Caenorhabditis elegans: one gene and its partners. The protein of the gene in region 2 purifies or fractionates together with the protein of the main gene of each other region. This does not show direct contact. Each region holds a gene or a part of one and is shown on either strand. Other genes may lie near its edges.

Region 1 (6,346 bases), on a different chromosome or scaffold from region 2:
CAGTGTTGGCGGCCGACATTTCGATAACTTGCAGCTGACGTTTTATGAGCGGATGCAACCGACATCTCGCGGTTTGGTAGTTGGCGACCAATAGGTTCTCAGCCGACACCTCACGGTTTTACAATTAGCAGCCGACGTCTCACCGGGTTTCTGCTGGCAGCCGACACTTCACAAGCCCGCTAATTTGCAAACTTGTCCAACTCGCCTGCTTAGTTTCGAAAAATCTTTGGCATACGGATAAAAAGCGATAGACGTCGACGCAAATATAATCACAAGAAATACAGGTGCACTGCCGACTCGAATGCTTTTCGATAGGCTTCTTGTAAGGTACGGGAAGCCGAGAGCAGCTCCAAAATGTCGACCAGGAAATGTGGAACGCACCGAGCAGGTTCTTAGGCTGCAAATCAAAGGTTTGCAAACAATCCAAAAAAAAGTCGATAACTCACAATTTAGTCCCGATAAAATTCTCGAATTTATTGGAAATCAGCCGAACCAGACAGAAAACGATGAATAATATGGTAGCCCGGCGCTGAGATTCACATTCCTCTTTTGTAACGTCCGATGACGTGGCATTTATGAAAAACAAAATTCTACAGTAATCCTACAGTAACCTTACATTTATGATATTACGGTAGGCCAATGGTACTACAGGGCCACGATCCTATATGGTTACGGTAGGCAACGGCTACTCTAGGTACCTATTTATACAGTTTCAGGTCGTGGCTCTACAGTATCATTAGCCTACAGTAGCCCTACCGTATACCTACAGTACCCCTACAGTACCACTACAGAACCTTGACATGATCCCCCACCAACTTCCAACCCAACACCTCTTCTATAGACAAAAGCTAAAATTTCCCAAGCTACAGTAACCCTACGGTATACCTACAGTACTACTAAACCATCACACACATCACAGAACTGGCAGAATATATGAACCTTAAACTACAGTAATCCTACAGTAGCCAGAATCGTAACCCTAAGCCTACTACAGTACCCCCGCAATGTTACAGTACTCCACAGTAACCCTAGCCTACTAAAAAAAATATAAAAAAAAGTACTAGTCCACATCTGTATAGTAATATTTTATTTCCAAAATTAAAAAAATCAATTTTTACCAACAAACTCACCCATAATCATAAAAATCGCAGAGCCCTGAAAATCTAGGTGTCAGATAGAAATTGATAATCGACGTGGCAAACAGTAAAGTGAACAGCGTCAGAAAAAACACGCAGATTTTCAAAATTTCCCAGGATTTTTTGACTTTCGGGTGCATTTTTCCTGGAAAAGTAGGGAAAGTGAAAGCTTGAGCAAAATTGAAACTTTTTGCGGGGTGAATTCTTGACAAAAGGAGGAGGAGTACGGGGTAAACGGATTGTTTTGTGGATTGTGTGAACCCGCCGGCAAATTCGATTTTAGGTTGGGATTTCTTGGGAAACCTTTTTTTTCAGGAAAAAGGAGAAGGCTAATGCTTTTCAATATCTAAAATATCCATTTCACGTTTGAAAGATGATCTGCAGATACTGTAGATAGATTTTAGAAACTGTAGAATAACTGTAGTTTGACATAAACGGTATGCTGCAGGAAGGTACAGTTGCTAGAAGTACGATGTGGGAACTGTATGGGTACGTTACGGGTACTGTAGGGGTACTGTAGTCATGCTGTGGGAGCAATGTAGGGGTATCATAGGTGTACTGTATGATTACTGTACTGCAGGGTACTGTAGGGGTACTGTAGTCATACTGTAAGGGTAATATAGGGGTACTGTTGGCTTACTGTACTGCAGGGTACCGTAGGGGTACTGTAGGTGTATTATATGGGTACTGTAGGGGTGATTTTAATGCAAAAAACATTTAAAACCTCTGAAGTTGGGAAAAAATCTACAAAGAGACTACAATTTCACATGAAAAATTAACAAAACTCGAAACTTTCTGTAATTTCCACTGATTGAGCTCTACGTGGCCGTGAGATGTAAAGAACTCGGCCACCAATTTTGTATTGTTTTTTTATTAAAAAAAAAACTTCACAATTGAATATTGGAACAAAAACGGTCAGAATTATCAACAATATAATTATTATCCAGAAGGCCTTCAACACGAAAAACCTCGTAGTGGTGGTTGATGGAGGGCTCCAGGTGCAGTTGCCAGCCGTCTAAAAATTAATTTTAATTTTGACACGAAAATCGAGAAATTTAAATGAAAAAAGTTTTTTAAAAATTGAATTTTGTTGATTTTCACCCAAAAATTTCTAAATTTTCATATGCAATCAGTGGGAAAAATGAATTTTTCTGGTTTTTTCTCAATATTTCTCCATTTCAAACCTTCTTTCAACACGCCATTCCGGGAATTCCGCGCGTAAAAAACCCGCTTCACACGAAAATGCACCAAAGCCATTGAGCACATTGCACAGGGCTCCGTGATGAGGAAAACGTCGGATCCGGTGCCAAGATAGTCATCGCCGTGTCTTTTCGGCAGATTTCCAACCATTTCCATTACCGGGTGGCCGAGTGGATGGGAAGACGGGCGGCCCGTGGAGAGGAGCTCGTCGTTCTGGAATTTTTTGGATTTTTTGGATTTTTCAGGCGGTGCAAATTACCTGCACAGCTATACAACCATCCCCCAGCCGAGCAGCTTCGCCGAGCCATCGATCCACGTATTTTTTCAGCGATTCTGTGAGAAAAGAGCCGTCTAGAAGTTGCTCGAGCTCATGATTCGGGTGAAATCCTGTTGGCCAGAGCTCCTTAGCCACTTGGAATTGCCGTCGGGTCTGTGGCTTGGTTCTCGCGACTTTTACTGGCTGAAAATTGAAAAATTAGGAATTTTCAGATTTTTTTTGATTTTCTACCACTAAATCTTCCACCCGAGCTTCTGCGTCCTCCAACTTTCCCACGATAAGCTTTGCGACTTCCTCCGACTCTGCTATCAGCACACTTCCGTCTTTTCCGACTCTTTTCAAGTGTGAAAGCTCTTCTGGAAGTTCTGGAAGTCGCCTGATAATCTGAAAATATAGAATTTCGACTAATTTTGGGGAAAGGGTAAGTTTCCCTACTGTCCCAATAATTTTCTTGTTTTCAAGTCGTAAAGCTTGGAAGGAAGTCGATGGGATTGTGTCGCAAGTGAGAGTTGAATCCAGAATTGGGTAGACTTTAATTCTGGAATTTTGTTGTTGTTTTTGAGGATTTTTGAGGATTTTTATTTCAAAAATGGTTTTTACGGCTTACCTCATCGTATCGATTTTTCTAATTTTTTCCGGAGGCTCTTCCAGTGACATTTTCCTTGCAAATCTGAAAAAAAACTGTTTAAAAATAGATAAAACGGCAAAAATTAAATAAATAAATCCAAAAAATAAATATGGAAAAAAGTGTGCGGCGGCATTGCCTGCCTCCGCCCCGCCCACATTTCCGCGCCGCACCCGAATCATGTGCATTTTGCAGCTGTTTATTTATTTTTAATCCCGTCACTTTTATCAATTTTCGTCGGTTTTTCCGAGATTTCTCACATTTTTTCAATTCTCAATCTTCTTTCCACCTTATTTCATCGATTTATTGCGAAAATTCCAGAAGAAAATGGGCAACAATCAGTCTGGAGGGCCCGACGCCCGCTATGGAGGCCCAAACGACAAGGCGGGCCTCCGAAGGCATCGGATGATGAGCGAAACGGCAAAAATCGCCGGACAAGTACTCCCGAACCCGGATGGAGGACCGCCGATGATTTTTGATGTGAGATTTTCACAAAAAATCCCAAAAATTCCTTTTTTAAATTATTTTTCAATATTTTCAGGACGGAAATGAGGACAAATCCGGCGAATGCCCAGTGGTATTCCGCTGGAGTTTCACACAAAACGCACAGCCACGTGTCGTCCATATCGTTGGATCATGGGATAACTGGCAGACGCGGATCCCGATGGTAAAGTCGACAAACGACTTTTCGACAATCATCGACCTGCAACCCGGACAATACGAGTACAAATTCCAAGTGGACGGCTCGTGGGTCGTCGACGATAATCAGGGAAAGGCACAGGACGTTCATGGAAATGAGAACAATATGATCAATATTCAAGACTCGGATTTTGCAGTTTTCGAAGCGCTGGATGAAGACTTCCAGTCATCTACAGCCGGGGAGGTGCTCCGTGGCGAGTCGGAGAGCACCAAGAATCATGATACTCCGAATGACAGGTGAGAAAACTTCAGAAATGTTCACTAAAAAACTAAAAAAAACTTTTTCAGAGAGCTCGAAAAACTGCGCTCCTTCACCCAAGAGATCCCATCAATGGATATGCTTCGGAAGGCAGCCGGACCACCAGTAATTCCACCACAACTCATGCAGGTGCTTCTCAACAAGGAGACGCCCGAGTCATGCGATCCGAATGTGCTGCCGGAGCCGAATCATGTGATGCTCAACCACATGTACGCGCTCTCCATCAAGGACAGCGTTATGGTGCTCTCATCGACGCAACGCTATCGCAAGAAGTTCGTCACCACTCTTCTCTACAAGCCTGTCTAACTGTTTTTCTTGTTTTGTGGGGTTTTTTGTTGAAAAAAATCGAAAAAAATGCCCTGACTAATCAGCGATTAGCTCCGCCCACTATTGAACCAATCATACTGCGGTACGGTTTTTCCTATTTTTAATTCAAAATTTCTTGATTTCGCTCGATTATATTCTTTTAAAAAAAGTGTTTTTAACTATTTTTAAATAGAAATCTACCATTTTTCCCAAAATATAGCCTTTTTTGTCTCTATTTCTGAAAAAAATTAAGCAAAACGACATAAACTTATCGTTTTGCATCATCTTTTTTCAGGAATAAAGACAAAAATTGTTGTTTTCCGTTGCAAAATTCGGGGAAAAAAACCGAAAAAAAATCGATTAAACACAAAAAGACAGCAAAAACCGCGCCATGGGGTTGTGATTGGTTGAAAAGTGGGCGGAGCTAAGCCCTGATTGGTCGTGCTTCAAAATTGAAAAATCTCGATTTTTTTGGATTTTTTGTAGAAAAATCTTGATTTTTCAAGCTCCCGAGACCAAAGTTCCAAAATTTTCTCCCACTCTTTAGTTTTTGTATTATAGTCGCCTCTTTTTCCCCCATTAATTTTCTTTCTGTTCTATTTCCAATAGTGTTTTAAGAAACGAAAAACGTCGTAGCCAACTCTTATTTAATACGGTCTGCCCCCTTGGAACCCACTTTTACCACACTACCAATCAGCTGAGTGTATATACCAATTCTCAATGTTTCCCTGCCCCTTTTCTTCTTCTTCTACTTCCAACAGCTTTATTTTTCCTATTTTTCTCGTATTTTTCTTGGGCTTTCATGTAGGCGACCTCCGCCTGCCTCCCGCCAAAAATTCACGTCAAAACGCAGAGAATAGGCAAAAGTGAGGCGGACAGGTTTCAGGCAGACGTCTGAAACCGCGCCTGCCTACCATGGAAGCCCTAATTTTTGAAATCAGTTTCTTTTAAAAAATCCACTGTGAATAATTTGACATTCCAATTTGTTCACCATCTCCCTCGTTTCTTGTTTTTTTTTCCACTTTCTTTTTTGATTTTTTTTTATTTTTTTCGCCTCAAAAAAGATTCTGTCTCGTAGTTTTCTGTCCCTTTAATACATTTTTCATCGATTTTTCCCCTTTTGCTGGCTTGAGCTACAGTAGCCGTTTCGCACGGTACTTGTATATCTATGTTTGTGTGTGTTTTTTTTTAATTGAAAATTGTGCTCGCCCACGCTTGATGCTTTTAGTGCTTTTTAATCATTTTTTAGCTGAAAATCTTCGTCATTTGACTCTGTAACTGCGAATTTCGATTTTTTGCGACAAAAATAGGGATTTTTAGCTAAAAAATCCCACGTTTAGTCGTTTTTTTTAGGAAAAAATTCACCAAAACTAAATTTGCACTGAAAATAAACTTCAAAATGCGGATTTTTAGGCCAAAAAATAATAAAATCAATGATTTTCTGATCAAAAAAATCGATTTCAGAGCGGAAATTTGCCTGAAACTCGTAAAATGTATACCAAAATCGAAATTTAACTAAAAATCCACATAAAAATGCAGATTTTAATCTAAAAATCGTTCAAATTACCTTTTTGTCAGTAGAAAATCGAATTTTCATTGAAAAAACCGATTTCAGAGCGAAAAACCATAAAATTCCCTACAAAAAACGGGCTTTTGCAAGCTAAAAATTCGATTTTTAGCCGATTTTCTAGTGAAAATCACTCTATTTTCATGTTTTTCACTGAGATTTTGAGCATTTTCACTTTTAATTCGATTAGTTTCCACACATTTTGGCAACAAAAAAGAAAAAAGCCAGCGTTATTTGTTTATTTTCGAACATTTTTCGCCTCGTTTTTACTTTTTTT
Region 2 (8,716 bases):
ATATTTATATTCTCGCCAAAAACTTTCGGAAAGGACCGGAAAATGTTTCATATGATTTGAAGAACGTAGAGAAAATTATACGTTCAAGAAATTTAGAAATAGTTCCAGGAAAAATTGAGGTTTTAAGTTGTAATTGCTCAGAACTTAGTTATATAATATTTATGTTGCTCGAAAATTTCCGGAAAACAGGAAAAAACGTTCCATCTGCAAAGAAGGCTTAGAAAATTTAGAATTTGATTTCAATTTTGAGTACGCCAGTCGGAGCACGCGCTTCAGCGCGTGCGAACGGCTGGTATATATATACAGTGCGTACAAGTTCTATACGCCACCCTCTAAATTTATGCCTGTGGCCACGTCTGTGCTTTTAAAAAAATTTCTGTTGATGCCATTCGATTCCAAATCTTAAAAAACGTATAGGCCCAAATTTTCATGACCTTACCTCAATAATTAAAACAATGTTCAATAAATCGAAAAATTGGCCGTACAACTTCTATACGCCACCCTCGATTTTTTGATGATTTTTCAAAAATTTACAATTTTTGAGAAGAAGTTGAACAGCACATTAATAAATTTGAGTGAATTTCGGTGCACAGTAGCTTTTCCTACAACCATAGAACAATTTTGCCCCAATTCGCAGATCCATGGAGTGCCAATGGCACCAGAGGGCCTGAAACGTGGACTGTATATATATATATGATAATTATACTTATTGAGTGGTAACGCGTATTTGAATCGTCTTTGGAATTACATGGGGATTCAAAAACTCAATTGCCACACCTTTGACACTTATTGGTGCATTTCAGTATATCTATTGTCCAACTCATCTCCACGATGGGATCCTAATACTCCACAAGGTCAATGCCTGATGCTTCCTCTGATAAGTGTAATAATGGATACCTGGCCATTCTTTATTTATATCGTCAGAATGATGTACAATCTGCACAGTAACGTGTCGCCACACGAATTGGAAGGCTATCGTTCCCGATTTCAGACAATTTTCGAGAAAACTAAACAATTCTACGAAGAGTGCTCAAAACATCAGTATTTTAGATGTTTTGTTCAAATTCCAACATTTCCATTGCATGCACCTAACTTTTTTACACAGTCAGATCTTGAATCTTATCAAACATATCTAATTGGAGAATCCAAGAAACTGACTGAAACAGTAACACCAGCAGAAGAGGTGAGATTCTTTATACAACAGTAATGTTATAGCGATTCAGTGAACACACGTAGAAGTGGGAAAAATAAGTGAAACTTTTCTAAAAAGTAGCACATTCATTCAAATTTTAGTTTACCGCGTAAATATTTTTGAACAGCTTTAGGTTCAATTTCATGACAGGGTTCGATTAATCTCAAGAAATTGGTGACACCAGTTATGCCTAGAGTTAGAGTCATGTACTATAAGTTCAACAAAGAGGAATAGTCACAGTAAAAACATTTTCCCGGTTTTTCAGGCCCGCACCCGAATTGAACATTATGAAAACCGTTTAAAAGAAATGCACGGGGAATTCCAGCATGTGAGACGAGAAGCTGATGAAAATCGAGAGGAGGTTCAGAGACTCAGATGTTTGTTTTAATTTTCCTCAGACGGCACCGGTATTAGAATGTATACAGGCACCTAGGCAGGCAGGAGCACGTGCCTGATTTCTAAATATGGTTTTCAAATAAAGTTACTTTCAGACGAGTTGGCACTCCGCGATGCTTCTAGGACTCAAAATCAAGCGGCTATCTATGACACTCCTCCGGATGAGTTCAGCATTAAATTTTAAAAGGAACTTTTCATAATCATCATTACTCCACTCAAAGTAGAACATCTCAGCATGTTTACATTCATTTAATATTTCATTAACAATAAATGTATTTTAATACTATTACTGGATATCCAGCTTTTCACAAAGCTAACCGATATGAAATTTTTAAAAAATACCGGAATGTACAAATGAGGTCAATTTTAAGGTAACGTTTATTGATCAAGAGCAGAACAGAATAAAACAAAAATCCGATAATAAACCGACCAACTTCAGAACAAAAATCCCAACAGACGCGATTTCTTCGTTAATTACAAAATAATATTAAACTAGCTGATGATTAAACTGACTTCAACTTTGAGAAATTTTATCAAAAGATCACAGTTTCTTCCACACAGAATACATCACTTTCTCTGCCTACATAATTTTTATCCCCCTTTTCTAATGTTATCACTTTTTGTCAATTCACTGGTTCAAAATTCTGACTATGAGAGTCACAATATAGCCTACATGTTACATGACTTCTTCCAATTCCCCCTTCCCATGCAATTTTCAATATCACGTTCCGTGACTACACTGTAGTCAATGGACATAAATGATTGGAAAATGGACGGTACAATGTGGTGTGGTGATAAGAGAGTTATCACCTCCTCCTTTCGTCTTCTATTTCTCTTTTGGTTTTGATGATCATTCTCTCGTCTTCTTATCATTTAAATTGAGTGCAGAGGCAGGTAGAAAAACTGAATTTATATTCAGTGGTTTTTTTTTCAAATTGTTAGTATTGCAGGTGTTAAGTTGAACGATTTATGAGCTCTTTTTCTAGACAGGCTTCTTTTTGATAAGAAATACTTTTTTGTATATTTTTTACAACTTTTCTGCTAACAGTGCCCTAACTGGGATATGAGACGAAATATGTAATCTAACAGATCTTTTTTTACAGTAACTATAGTTGTGTAATGTAGATACGGTATTTCCAAATTAAACTGAGATATAATATAAAAAATAGGCTAAAAATAAGATCAAGCTCTCGAAGAAACTGATCTGAAGCTCTTGCCAATTACATGCAGCTTCTGTAATTCATTTTTTCATATATTTAAGTTTCACTAAGATACCGTATTTCCTCTTTTTTTTGTAGATGCATTTTTATAAGTCTAAGTTTTAACTGTCATGGCAGGTGTAATACTTTTTGAACCGCTGCGTTAGATTCGAGCCAAGAGTTTCAATTTTCGTACAACTTATTGATATTTTTTAACTTTGTAGTACTTCGTACTTATCAATTTCAACCACATATGTTTTTTTTTCAAATTTTTAAAACTTTGTCAGTTTTAGTATGGTGCATCTCAACAAAACAATTCAGGAGGGTGATAACCCGGATCTCACTGCCGAACGCTTGACGGCAACATTTGATACTCATGCGATGGCTGCACAGATTTATGGGGGAGAAATGGTAAGCTATCTAGTCAAAATGGAATATTTGAATAACTGTCTCTAATGTTTCCAGCGCGCCCGTCGTCGTCGTGAGATCACCGCGAAGCTTGCAGAAATCCCAGAGCTCCATGACTCGATGCCACTTCCGTATATGACAAGAGAGGAGAAAATTATGGAAAGTGCTAGGAAACTGACGGTTTTGACACAAAGAATGTCAGAGATCATTGATCCAACTGATGCAGGCGAGTTGTATCATTTGAACAAGTAAGTGGACTTTTTTCTTGGACTAATACCCTTCGTTTGACAGGCTTAGGATTTTTCCTAAAATTACATGGAAAATTAATTTAGAAATCAGATTCAGCATATGAAATAGTTTTTGGTACAAAAATTTTATTATGATAACGTAAAAATAAGGAAAAGCAATTCTTTGGGATCTCATGAGATTTTTGAAAACATCGCCGAACTTTCATTTTTTTTTTACGTGCGAAACCATCCAGATTAAGGGCGATTCTAAAGAAGTTACGCTCACTGTACTTTAGTTTATCATATCAAAAATCAAAGTAGAATAATACAAAAATACAAGTTTAATAATGAAAGAGCTCTTCAAACTGAGCATTTTCCCAGAAAATCAATAATTTTCCAGCGAAGTTCTCGGAATCGAAGGAAATCCTATGGCTCTTCACGGTGTGATGTTCATTCCAGCCCTCAACGCTCAAGCTAGTGATGAGCAGCAAGCCAAGTGGCTCATTCGAGCGCTCCGACGAGAAATCATCGGAACCTACGCCCAAACTGAAATGGGTCATGGCACAAATCTTCAAAATCTGGAAACAACTGCTACTTATGACATTGGAACTCAGGAGTTTGTGCTTCACACTCCAAAGATCACCGCATTGAAGTGGTGGCCAGGGAATCTTGGAAAAAGCAGCAACTATGCAGTTGTAGTTGCACATATGTATATAAAGGGAAAGAACTTTGGACCACATACCTTCATGGTTCCATTGAGAGACGAGAAAACTCACAAACCACTTCCAGGGATTACAATTGGAGATATTGGACCAAAAATGGCTTATAATATTGTAGACAATGGATTCCTAGGCTTCAACAACTACCGTATCCCAAGAACGAATCTTTTGATGAGACATACCAAAGTAGAGGCTGACGGGACTTATATCAAACCACCACATGCAAAGATCAATTACTCTGCAATGGTACATGTGAGAAGTTATATGCTTACTGGACAGGCGATTATGTTGTCGTATGCGTTGAATATTGCAACAAGATACTCGGCAGTGAGAAGACAGGGGCAGATTGATAAAAAGTAAGTTGGAACTTTTATGAATAAGATCTGAAGAATACCAACTACTATTAGTAAAATAAAAAAGGGTTATAGGTTGAATTTCTTGGGTTGAGCTATCTCTAAATATATTTTTCATAACTAAAAAGCTTATTTCATGGCTTGAAAATAGATTCGTCTTTAGTAAGAATGATCATAACTATAACTATACATCAATACTTTTATGTGCATACCTATGTAGTACGTCTATTACCTTTATATATAGAAGTTCCGTAAATAACAGACTTCGCTGTGCCACTCACAACTTACATAACTTCTCAGTTTTGTTACTGTTACGAATTACGAACTACGATATGAATTACGCCTGTTAAACAATACAACGTAAATGTTACGAAAAATGTTACGTTTGATCAACAAAAAATGCGGGAATTTTCCCCCAGGAAAATGTGACGTCATCACGCAAAATCAGTTGAAAAATCTGCATCTCTTCTCCCGCATTTTTCGTAGAACAAACCAAAATGGGACACTTTGACACCACGTGCGAATTACGAGAAACTTAATTACTTGCAAACCCCATCCTCACTTATCCTCTTTCCAGTGAACCAGAGGTAAAAGTGCTCGAGTACCAAACCCAGCAGCACCGTCTCTTCCCATTCATCGCCCGTGCCTACGCTTTCCAGTTTGCTGGTGCCGAGACCGTGAAGCTTTACGAACGAGTACTCAAGGAGATGAAATCTGGAAATGTGTCTCTTATGGCTGACTTACATGCATTGACTTCTGGTTTAAAATCAGTTGTTACTCATCAAACTGGAGAAGGTATCGAACAAGCGAGAATGGCTTGTGGTGGGCATGGATATTCTATGGTAGGAATGTTATAATTGAAATTGCAAATTCTAAAGGAATGTTTCAGGCTAGTTACATCTCTGAAATCTACGGAGTTGCAATTGGAGGATGCACGTATGAAGGAGAAAATATGGTTATGCTTCTTCAACTCGCTCGTTACCTCGTCAAATCCGCTGCCCTTGTGAAGTCCGGAAAAGCTTCTCAGCTTGGACCACTGGTAGCCTACTTGGGCGCCAGAAGTGAGCCAACTAGCCTGATAGATAGAGTTCCAAATGGTGGAATCACGGAATACATCAAGACATTCCAACATATCGCAAAGAGACAGACGTTGAAGGCTGCCAACAAGTTCTTCGGATTAATGGAGAATGGAGAAAAGAGAGAAATCGCCTGGAACAAGTCATCCGTGGAGTTGAATAGGGTATGTTTGACTTATGCTTGTGATTTTTGAGAATACGAGTGATGGTACATTGTGGCCTTGATGTCCATTTGCCCATTTCCTTGCAGAAAATGCAAAACCTGCAAAACTTTAGATGCACTTTTGAGCTTGTTTATCAATATTTGTCAACAATCATTGAATTCTTATCAGTTGTCCCTGCAACCTTACTAGGAAAATTAGTTCAAACACCAAAATGTTGGAAAAGTGCATTTGCTATGTAGCAAAAACTGGTGAAATCTGGTAGAATTTTGTAAATCCGAAACCTTTTTTGGGCTCTATATTAGGGTGCATACTAGATACCAGAGCCGTATTTAAAGTTAAAGATGACTAAAGATTCTGAACACACTAGCTTAAGACATTGTAACAAAAGCGACACTCTTAAAATTAAAAGTCCGAAAAGTATATATTTCTAGGCGAGTCGCCTCCACACCCGCCTCTTCATCGTCGAAGCCTTTGCCAGACGAGTCAACGAAATCGGAGATATCACCATCAAAGAGGCTCTCAGCGATCTCCTCCATCTTCACGTCAACTATGAACTTTTGGATGTTGCCACGTATGCACTGGAAGATGGATTCATGTCATCCACTCAGTTGGATTATGTCAGAGATCAATTGTACTTCTATCTCCAGAAAATTCGACCAAACGCAGTTTCATTGCTAGATTCCTGGGAGTTTAGTGATAGAGAGCTGAGATCTGTAAGTTCCAAAGCTAATGGGTTCTAAAATTAAATAACTGAAATTTCAGGTCCTAGGCCGCCGTGATGGTCATGTCTACGAGAACCTTTTCAAGTGGGCAAAGGAAAGTCCGTTGAACAAGACAGATGTTCTTCCGTCAGTGGATACATATTTGAAGCCAATGATGGAAAAAGCCAGGCAGAGCAAGCTATAATTCTAATTTATATTTTTGATTTTTTTTTCTCTTGCATACTCTTTGCTTATACTGTTAAATATTTGAAAATGCAAACATTGCACTTATAAATAGTACAGGCCAATAATCACAACTCCGCCCATCACTCCTTTTATACCCTTTCCATCAGTTCATCCATCCATTCTTCTTTTTTGTTGATATCAGTAACATGGCGAACCGATCAATTCGTGATGGAGATAACCCCGAATTGCTGGAAGAACGGAGGATGGCAACTTTTGATACGGATAAGATGGCAGCGGTGATCTATGGAAGTGAAGAGGTAAGGACTGCAAACTACAAACTATTGATTACAAGCTTTATTAGGCTAATAGAAAATCAGATTATACATAATTTTAGTATGAATCAAGAGTTATCAAAGCTGAAATTTTATAATGTTTTAAAGCACAATGGAATGTATACATACATGTTCTTGAAAAATATTGTATACCTTAAGTGGAGACCATGTATGTTTCGCACCGTATAACTTAATCAGTTAGAACGACATGTTCCACCACGTGGCATTGAACAATAAAATCCCTGTAATTCCACAAAAATCAATTTTCGTCGTTTTCCCTTTGTCGGAAAAATTTTTTTTATTAGGTAAGATTAGATAGCCACTATTTTTTCTGAGAGATAGAGACCATAAAACGAAATACATATTCTGTCAATCAGCAGGAAAGTGCAAAAGTCAATGTTTCTAGTAGTGTGTAAAGGTTTCAGCAAACCATGAACATACATATGTATCAAGATTTTGGACAGTAAAGAAACAGGGAAATGAACTATCATAGTTTATGAGGGAAATTATCCCCGTCGATGCACCATGTTTCGAATGATTCAAACTTTGGTGCCTCACTTTGGTTGATTGCATTTTTTTTTGAAATAATTAATTGTCAACTTATTAAATGAAAAAAAAACTGTCTTAATACATAGAAAATTATTTGTTCAGTTCGCTCGTCGCCGTCGTGAGATCACCGACGCCGTGTCCAAGATCCCTGAGCTCGCCGACATCAAGCCCTATCCATTTTTGACTCGAGAGGAGAAGGTGACCGAGGGCACCAGAAAAATATCGATTTTGACAAAATATCTGAATCAGCTGATTGATAGAGATAATGAAGAAGAAAGTTTGCACCTGCATCGGTAAGGATTTTCTTTTCAAATTCAGTGTGATTTGGTAGATCTCACTTAATTGTCTCATACGTCGGTTTTATTTAGGTTTATAGAAAATTTGTTAACTGGTACAGTATTGTTTATCTGCTTGCTTGCAACTTTGTTCTGAAGTATATGCTAGCGCCTACCGATTTCCGTCAAGAGCTTCCATGAAAAATTTTGAAAAAATAAACCTCAAATGTTTGCCACTTTTCCTTTAAACTTTTCTCACAATCAGGTAAATTCCCACTTTCCAGAGAAGTGATTGGCTACGAGGGTCATCCCTTCGCTCTCCATGACGCTTTGTTTATTCCAACCCTTCAGTCACAGGCTAGTGATGAACAGCAGGAGAAATGGCTCGAGAGAGCTCGGCGACGAGAGATCATTGGATGTTATGCGCAAACTGAGCTCGGTCACGGCTCAAATCTTAGGAATCTTGAAACAACTGCAGTCTATGACATTGCTTCCCAGGAGTTTGTACTACATACTCCTACGACAACGGCGTTGAAGTGGTGGCCTGGAGCACTTGGGAAGAGCTGTAACTATGCATTGGTTGTAGCTGAACTGATTATAAAGAGAAATAACTATGGCCCCCACTTTTTTATGGTGCAGCTGAGAGATGAAAAAACCCATATTCCACTAAAAGGCGTTACCGTAGGAGATATCGGGCCTAAAATGAACTTCAATGCGGCGGATAATGGGTACCTTGGGTTGAACAACTTGAGAGTTCCACGAACAAATCTTTTGATGAGACATTGCAAAGTAGAGGCGGATGGGACGTATGTGAAGCCACCGCATGCAAAGATCGGGTACTCTGGAATGGTGAAGATCAGAAGTCAGATGGCTATGGAGCAGGGGTTGTTTTTAGCACATGCATTGACAATTGCAGCGAGGTATTCGGCAGTGAGGAGG
Region 3 (6,089 bases), on a different chromosome or scaffold from region 2:
TGTGGCAGAGATTTTATTTTTTTGTTTTATTCGTACTGTTTTGTCATTTTTCTGTTTTCCATTTATATTTTATCGATTAAAAATTATTTCCGTAAATCGACACCAGTACAGTAGTTACTTATGAAAAGAGTTACTGTAGTTTTCGTTACGAGATATTTTGTTTATTTCGCGTCAAATATATATTTTTATAAATATGTTGCGCAATATGCATTCTTAGAATATCGTGTTCCTGTAATAACATACACTTGCGTCGACGACCTGCCAGCCCAATTTTAATTAGTATGTAAAATGCAATCTTCTCCCAAATGAAATCCCTATCCGGATTATAAAATATTAGTTAATTTGTTTTCTAAAATATTTGTAATTGATGTCAAGTCAAAGGTGTTCCATCCTCAATAACCTTCGTATTTATTTATATGCATTTTCAACATTAATTGAGTTTTCCGTATTCCAGTTGTGCGGGTACTAATTTCTCGTGCGAGAGACCATGTTAAAAGGAGAGAGTGCGATACTGTGGCCGAGAAATCTCAGCGCGGCCGAGGGACGAGATCGTGTTGTGAAATAGTTTTTTTTACAAAAATAATTATTTAAGTTTAACATTAATTTTTGTGATTAAAATAACATTAAACTGCTACTTTTTCAAATTTTCGAATTAAAAATTTAACATTTAGGAGCGGTTGCGGTTCTCAATATGAGCGAGTTGCTGCAGTACAGTCGAATCAAATACGAGTGCACCTGTGGAAAATTTCGAACCCTTCCGGACCTTGTTTTCTGCCGATATTGCTTCAAAATTAAGTAAGTTTTTTTAATGGGTAATTGTCTAAAAATAATTGAAAAAAAAAATTAACCAACTTTTCCAGGTGTGATGACTGTAGCTTGGGAGAAGTTGACAATATTTTCTGTCCTCGATGCCTTGAACCATCAAGCGTCCCTGAAGCAAGACTTAAAAAGCATAAATGCGCAAGTTGCAATGATTGTCCTAAGTGTGGTATGATTTATCCACTATTTTGTAAATATATTTGAATATTTTCAGCTAACGTTCTGAGTGCTCGTACAGAAAATGATAATGTATATTTGGTTTGTCAGTACTGTCGTTGGTCTTCAAGAGAAGCGAATCAAGAAGATCAAGAGAATACTAAATCCTGGCCAACGTATGACTAACTGTAAATATGATCTTATGACATTTTATTTATACAGAAAAGAAAATCCATTGGTTAATCAACTTGGTGAGGTGACGGCATACATGAAGAGACTTGAATTGATTGAAAATGCTCCAAAAGATTTGAAAAAGGGAAAATCGGGCAAAGCCTGGACTGCTTTTCACTTGAAAGACAAGTTTGGATTTCAACAAATGGTAGATAAGCGGAAAAAAGCACTGGCTCCTGAAATGAATCCAGTTGATGCACATGCTCCAACAGAAGCGCCGACTCTTGAAGATGAGATTAAAGAAAGAACGGATGATCTGAGAACTCTCGATCAAATCATAATGCAACCATTGATCAATATCTCTGAGCCACTCCTTCCTGTACAAGTTCCTCTGGCTGGAAGAGTTCAAGTTCGATGTGATGAGTGCGAAAGAACTCTTATCAAACGAGACTTCGGAGTTACTACCTTTAAATTTAAAATTTCGGTGAGTAGCTCATTCAACAATAATGTAAAAAGTTTAAATTTCAGTCATTTGCCCGTCAATTTGTTCCTGACATCAGAATGTCTCGACCGGTTGATGATCTTAAAGTTGGGGAGACATCACACGTATTTCTCTCTATTACCAACTTATCATCATCTGCAATGGATTTGACTATCGCACCTCAATCTGGAAATGGTTTCATTCAATGTTCCAGTGATCCAATCCAGCTTCTTCTTCCATCATCGCGAGCATCGGATACTGCTGCTCCTGGAGTTCATGCTGACCAAAGGTTAGTTTTTTCTTGTTTTTAATTGACTAAAAATGGTATTCCAGTGACGTCATCGTGTTCCGACAGCACAACCGAGTTGGCCTTCGACTGGATGTTATTCCCACCGAGATGGATCTCTCTTCTCCATGTCTCAATCTTTTGATTACATATTGTCAGGATGGATCGTTCCGTCTCTCCTCCGCTAGTGACAAAATATTGAAACCAGAAGAAACGTGTCCTGATCCAATTCTCTCTGCTAATTTAAAAGTAGATCTCAGATAATCATTTCATGTATATTTGTTTCTATCCTTTCTCTACCACAGCGTGTCTTTTCTTAAACATAATTTATAAGCTTTGTTAAATATTTAGAAGACGTTTTTATGCTTTAAATTAAATACTTTAAAATTCAACATTCAAACATCCCAACAACAAATAAACATGATCGAGAAAATCAAAAATCAATATTCTGGCAAGATGGAGTATTTTGATGACCTGGAGCTGGCTCATCAAATGCAGGTGGAAGATGCATCACTCGAATTTGGAAACCTTTTCTGGAACTTGCTTCAAAAATAAGATCGAGAATCGGTGGAGTGTGTGTTCCAACGGACATCAATCGGGGCAAACTCTTCAAATGGAAGTATCCATGAGCAGTGCCAAGATGTTTGAACATTTTCTTCTCATTTTCATCAAACGGCATCAGTTGAATATGTGTATCAGCTGCGGATTCCAGTATACGCCAAGTTGGTTTCGGAACTCTGAAGGAGTTAGCCGTGATGTATACAATCATGTAACTCGAACGAGCTAAAGATCGGAGACAGCACAGGAATCGGCCAAGGAACTTGTAATCTTCACAAATTTCCATATCGATATTCTTCAGAACCACTCGAAGAAGATTCTTTTTCGGTCCACCTGAAGTAAAATTCATTAGTTTATGTATAATAATTCAATAAAAATCTCACCTCTTCCGCCGGATTTTGTGTGAGCTTCATTTTCTTTTACAATTTGGCAGAGCGTCTCGTAAATCCCTTTTAGCGTAAAAACTTTCTCCGCATACACGTCAACATTCGGATTCTCTACATGCTTCGTAAAGTCATACTGATTTTCGTTGCTTAATGGTCCAAGGGAAGAGGAAACTTGTTTTACATTTCCATACCGCCACGCAATTTTCATCGAGTTTTCATTTTCTGCCGGCAGAGAATTTGGAATTTCTTGATTTTGCATATCCGTGGATGTTCTTCTAGATGGTATGAGATTGATCTCTTTGGGATCTTCCGTGGGATCCGCAATGAAGCATCGATGACCATGATGAAGTCCTTCTGCGAGGAATGAACGAATGAGATAAGATCCATAGCAACGAGAACGATACTCGTCTGAAAATGAATGTGATTTTAATTTTAGGTTAGCGGGTATTTAATGAACAGGTAGCAACTAAATTAATAAATTACCTATGAGAACAATACTTGAATTAACTAAAGCTCCTCCAATGAGTGTGTCAAATGAATCGCAACCACTTGAAGTTTCCAGTAAGCGTTTCTTTGTTGAACATCCGGCAATTTGAACACTATCACCAACGTTCAACATTCTGAAATTACTTTAAAAATATGAAATATTGATGTTGACCAGGAAATTACGATAAAAATATTTGCAAGGTTATTACCAAACCATAATGTAATTTGAGAAACAGAAAAGAAAAATGAGATTTAAACAAACTAATTATTATTTCTAAAAACAAAAATAGGGTTCTAACTAAAAAATATATAAAGAAACCCGCAATAAAACAATATGAATTATTATCAGACTACTCCAATCTTTTTTCGATCGTCTCCACTCAATTGCAGCTCCTTTCTGAGAGCTTCGCGAGCATCCATTTCCTGGCGTCGACCCATTACCACCTGAGATTTCACTGTTACAAACGCACCGAATCCGACAAGAATAATGATTAGGTAAGCCATCCATGTATTACGATGATTTTTATCGAGGTCATGTCGGCCGACAAGCTGGAAATCAATTTAAATCAGTTTTTAGAATATTCTTCAGTATATATAATTTACCTCTGATCGATAAGCCCATTTCACTTTCTGTCCTTGTATTGTCATTTCGCGATTTTTTTCTGCGCTTTTAATACGAATTTGTTCTTCAAGTAAGTCCATGTTTCTGAAAATTGTTGATTAAAAACTTGAAGGTTTAAAAAAGCATAATCTTACGTAATATCTCTCTGATCTTTAGTTCTGTGAAGCTTTGGATTTTTCACAGGAAGAGTACAGAGATATCGTTCAGTAGGAATACGTTGGATAATGCGAAGCATCTTAAAAAGGAAATTCAAAATAATTTTATAAAATTAATTTCCTCAAAAAAGAGGCCCCACGAAAAGGGGAGCAGAACGAAAAGGGGATCTGCAAAAAGGGGATCTGCGAAAAGGGGAGATACGAAAAGGGGAGATACGAAAAGGGGAGCAACGAAAAGGGGAGCTGGCACTGTGCCAAACGCACAAAACGCAATTTTTCTCACGCAACGCACGTTGATTTTTGAAATTTTCTTCTAGAAGATACGCTTAACAACACGCGACGCGTAACATCGGAGCATCGTTGTATCGTTTTCTTCGAGAAAAATAGCGTTTGGCACAGTGTCAGATCCCCTTTTCGTTGCTCCCCTTTTCGTATCTCCCCTTTTCGTATCTCCCCTTTTCGCAGATCCCCTTTTTTCAGATCCCCTTTTCGTTCTGCTCCCCTTTTCGTGGGGCCTCAAAAAAAAAGATTGTTGAAACTACGAGACTCCGAAATGACGGGCGCGCATGTTGTTTATCGTAAATAATCTAGCTTTTCGCCGCTAATTTTAACATTGTTTTTTTTTCTCATTTTAATTATTTTTTAGTAACTTTTTATCGTATGTTTCATTCTTTTTATATATTAAAATTTGTACATAAATAGGAATCTTAAGTTATTATAAATTAGATTCGTTTTCTATCGTCCTTTTTAGTAGAATATCCATAAAATGTTGCTGCAAGTGCCTGTGCAGGAAGTACATGGGCATATTCTTCAAGCCATTCTGTAAAGTTGAAATCATCCATTGCAATTCTAGCCAAATCTTTCTGTGTCCACGTGTCATTCTGCTCATAGAGCGCAAGAATCATGGTGTGCATTCCTTAAATTTTGTGTTTAAGATTACGAAAAAATATATTCGAGCTTACCAACTGGTCTATCAGTAGAATCTGGGGGTTGATAAGACACAGCAGACTTTGTTCTTCTATGAATCTCAAGCTGTCCATCAAATGCCGCAATATTTGCAACCAGCCAAGTGACAGCCTTTGAGGTAGCATCTGTCAATAACAATGCTTATTATACCTGTAATTAACTGTAGCAAAAAAACCTGCAAGTATAATTGTATAGAGCTTCTCGTCTTGAAGTTCAACTCCTGCTGACATGACTGGAGGATCTGCAAGTTTGTCCAGTATATCAGCGTCGAAAAGTTGACCCATCGATATTTGTTCGTCGCTAAAGGTTGCCTACAATCAAGTTGTTTAGTATTATATTCATCATTTAACATACAATTAGTTCATATGCCGGAGCAACTGGCAACAGACGAGGGACAATTCGATTCTCTCGGAATGCTGTAATAATATTATGTCCTTATTCTTTTATCTCAGCCACCTACTGTGTTCTGGTTCTCTGTATTCTAATGTTCTGTTAGGTTTGCAGCAAAGTTTAACCGAATCATCTCCGAGACTTCCCAGACATCGGTATCCACGTGGGCATTGCGAATCAACTGAATTCCCACATGGCAAGAGAAGAGTCTCATAGAACTTTGGACATGCTGAAAGAAGAATATTAGATCGTACCGGAAGTATGAGAGATACGTGCGGTCTCTTTGACACGTGGCGGGAGGAAGACGGCAATGTGTCAAAGAGATCGTCGCGTCAACTCACTCGGGATGTCGGCATCTTTCTTGTCCTCACAGCAGACATATTTCTGACTTCTTAATGAGTATTGGCATACCGCATTTCTTCCTGTTGGACAATCCTGTAATTGGTTCTGATTATTGAACTCTTCATAAAATAGACCTACGTGTTCTTCTGGATGGCATTCGATAGCTCTCGATGGTATTCTTAATGTTGGTTTACTCATTAACGGTTGTTGCCAAGGGCGAACACAATCCGAATTGGACCATCCTTTGACGAGGTGTGAATCTAGAATTTTC

What was found.
Region 1: the proteins of acox-1.1 (region 2) and Y47D3A.14 fractionate together in Caenorhabditis elegans (co-fractionation; one large-scale study listed by BioGRID). This does not show direct contact.
Region 3: the proteins of acox-1.1 (region 2) and elpc-4 fractionate together in Caenorhabditis elegans (co-fractionation; one large-scale study listed by BioGRID). This does not show direct contact.

The regions. Positions count from the first base shown.
Region 1 is NC_003281.10:11,233,586-11,239,931, forward strand, and holds Y47D3A.14 (CMP/dCMP-type deaminase domain-containing protein), read right to left. Parts: upstream 3,284-6,346; 5' UTR 3,271-3,283; coding exon 3,221-3,270; intron 3,152-3,220; coding exon 3,049-3,151; intron 2,998-3,048; coding exon 2,845-2,997; intron 2,797-2,844; coding exon 2,596-2,796; intron 2,550-2,595; coding exon 2,321-2,549; intron 2,152-2,320; coding exon 2,024-2,151; 3' UTR 1,996-2,023; downstream 1-1,995. Other genes in the region: Y47D3A.34 (AcidPPc domain-containing protein), read right to left, coding at 206-397, 447-590, 1,131-1,276; aakb-2 (Association with the SNF1 complex (ASC) domain-containing protein), read left to right, coding at 3,566-3,718, 3,780-4,174, 4,226-4,502.
Region 2 is NC_003279.8:12,935,481-12,944,196, forward strand, and holds acox-1.1 (Acyl-coenzyme A oxidase acox-1.1), read left to right. Parts: upstream 1-3,074; 5' UTR 3,075-3,081; coding exon 3,082-3,198; intron 3,199-3,252; coding exon 3,253-3,443; exon of another isoform or gene 3,444-3,822; coding exon 3,823-4,497; intron 4,498-5,071; coding exon 5,072-5,336; intron 5,337-5,383; coding exon 5,384-5,734; intron 5,735-6,165; coding exon 6,166-6,447; intron 6,448-6,496; coding exon 6,497-6,640; 3' UTR 6,641-6,744; downstream 6,745-8,716. Other genes in the region: tag-138 (ENTH domain-containing protein), read left to right, coding at 804-1,183, 1,458-1,569, 1,684-1,772; Acyl-coenzyme A oxidase acox-1.2, read left to right, coding at 6,828-6,938, 7,605-7,795, 8,062-8,716. UniProt on the Caenorhabditis elegans protein: Involved in the first step of peroxisomal beta-oxidation by catalyzing the desaturation of fatty acid-derived side chains.
Region 3 is NC_003282.8:8,014,391-8,020,479, reverse strand, and holds elpc-4 (Elongator complex protein 4), read right to left. Parts: upstream 3,487-6,089; 5' UTR 3,477-3,486; coding exon 3,341-3,476; intron 3,266-3,340; coding exon 2,855-3,265; intron 2,805-2,854; coding exon 2,347-2,804; 3' UTR 2,259-2,346; downstream 1-2,258. Other genes in the region: dnc-4 (Dynactin subunit 4), read left to right, coding at 692-795, 861-988, 1,034-1,151, 1,198-1,630, 1,675-1,916, 1,961-2,177; C26B2.7 (Cytochrome c oxidase assembly protein COX20, mitochondrial), read right to left, coding at 3,689-3,892, 3,947-4,049, 4,100-4,200; C26B2.8 (C3H1-type domain-containing protein), read right to left, coding at 4,843-5,036, 5,083-5,211, 5,262-5,397, 5,441-5,502, 5,547-5,705, 5,818-5,911, 5,957-6,078.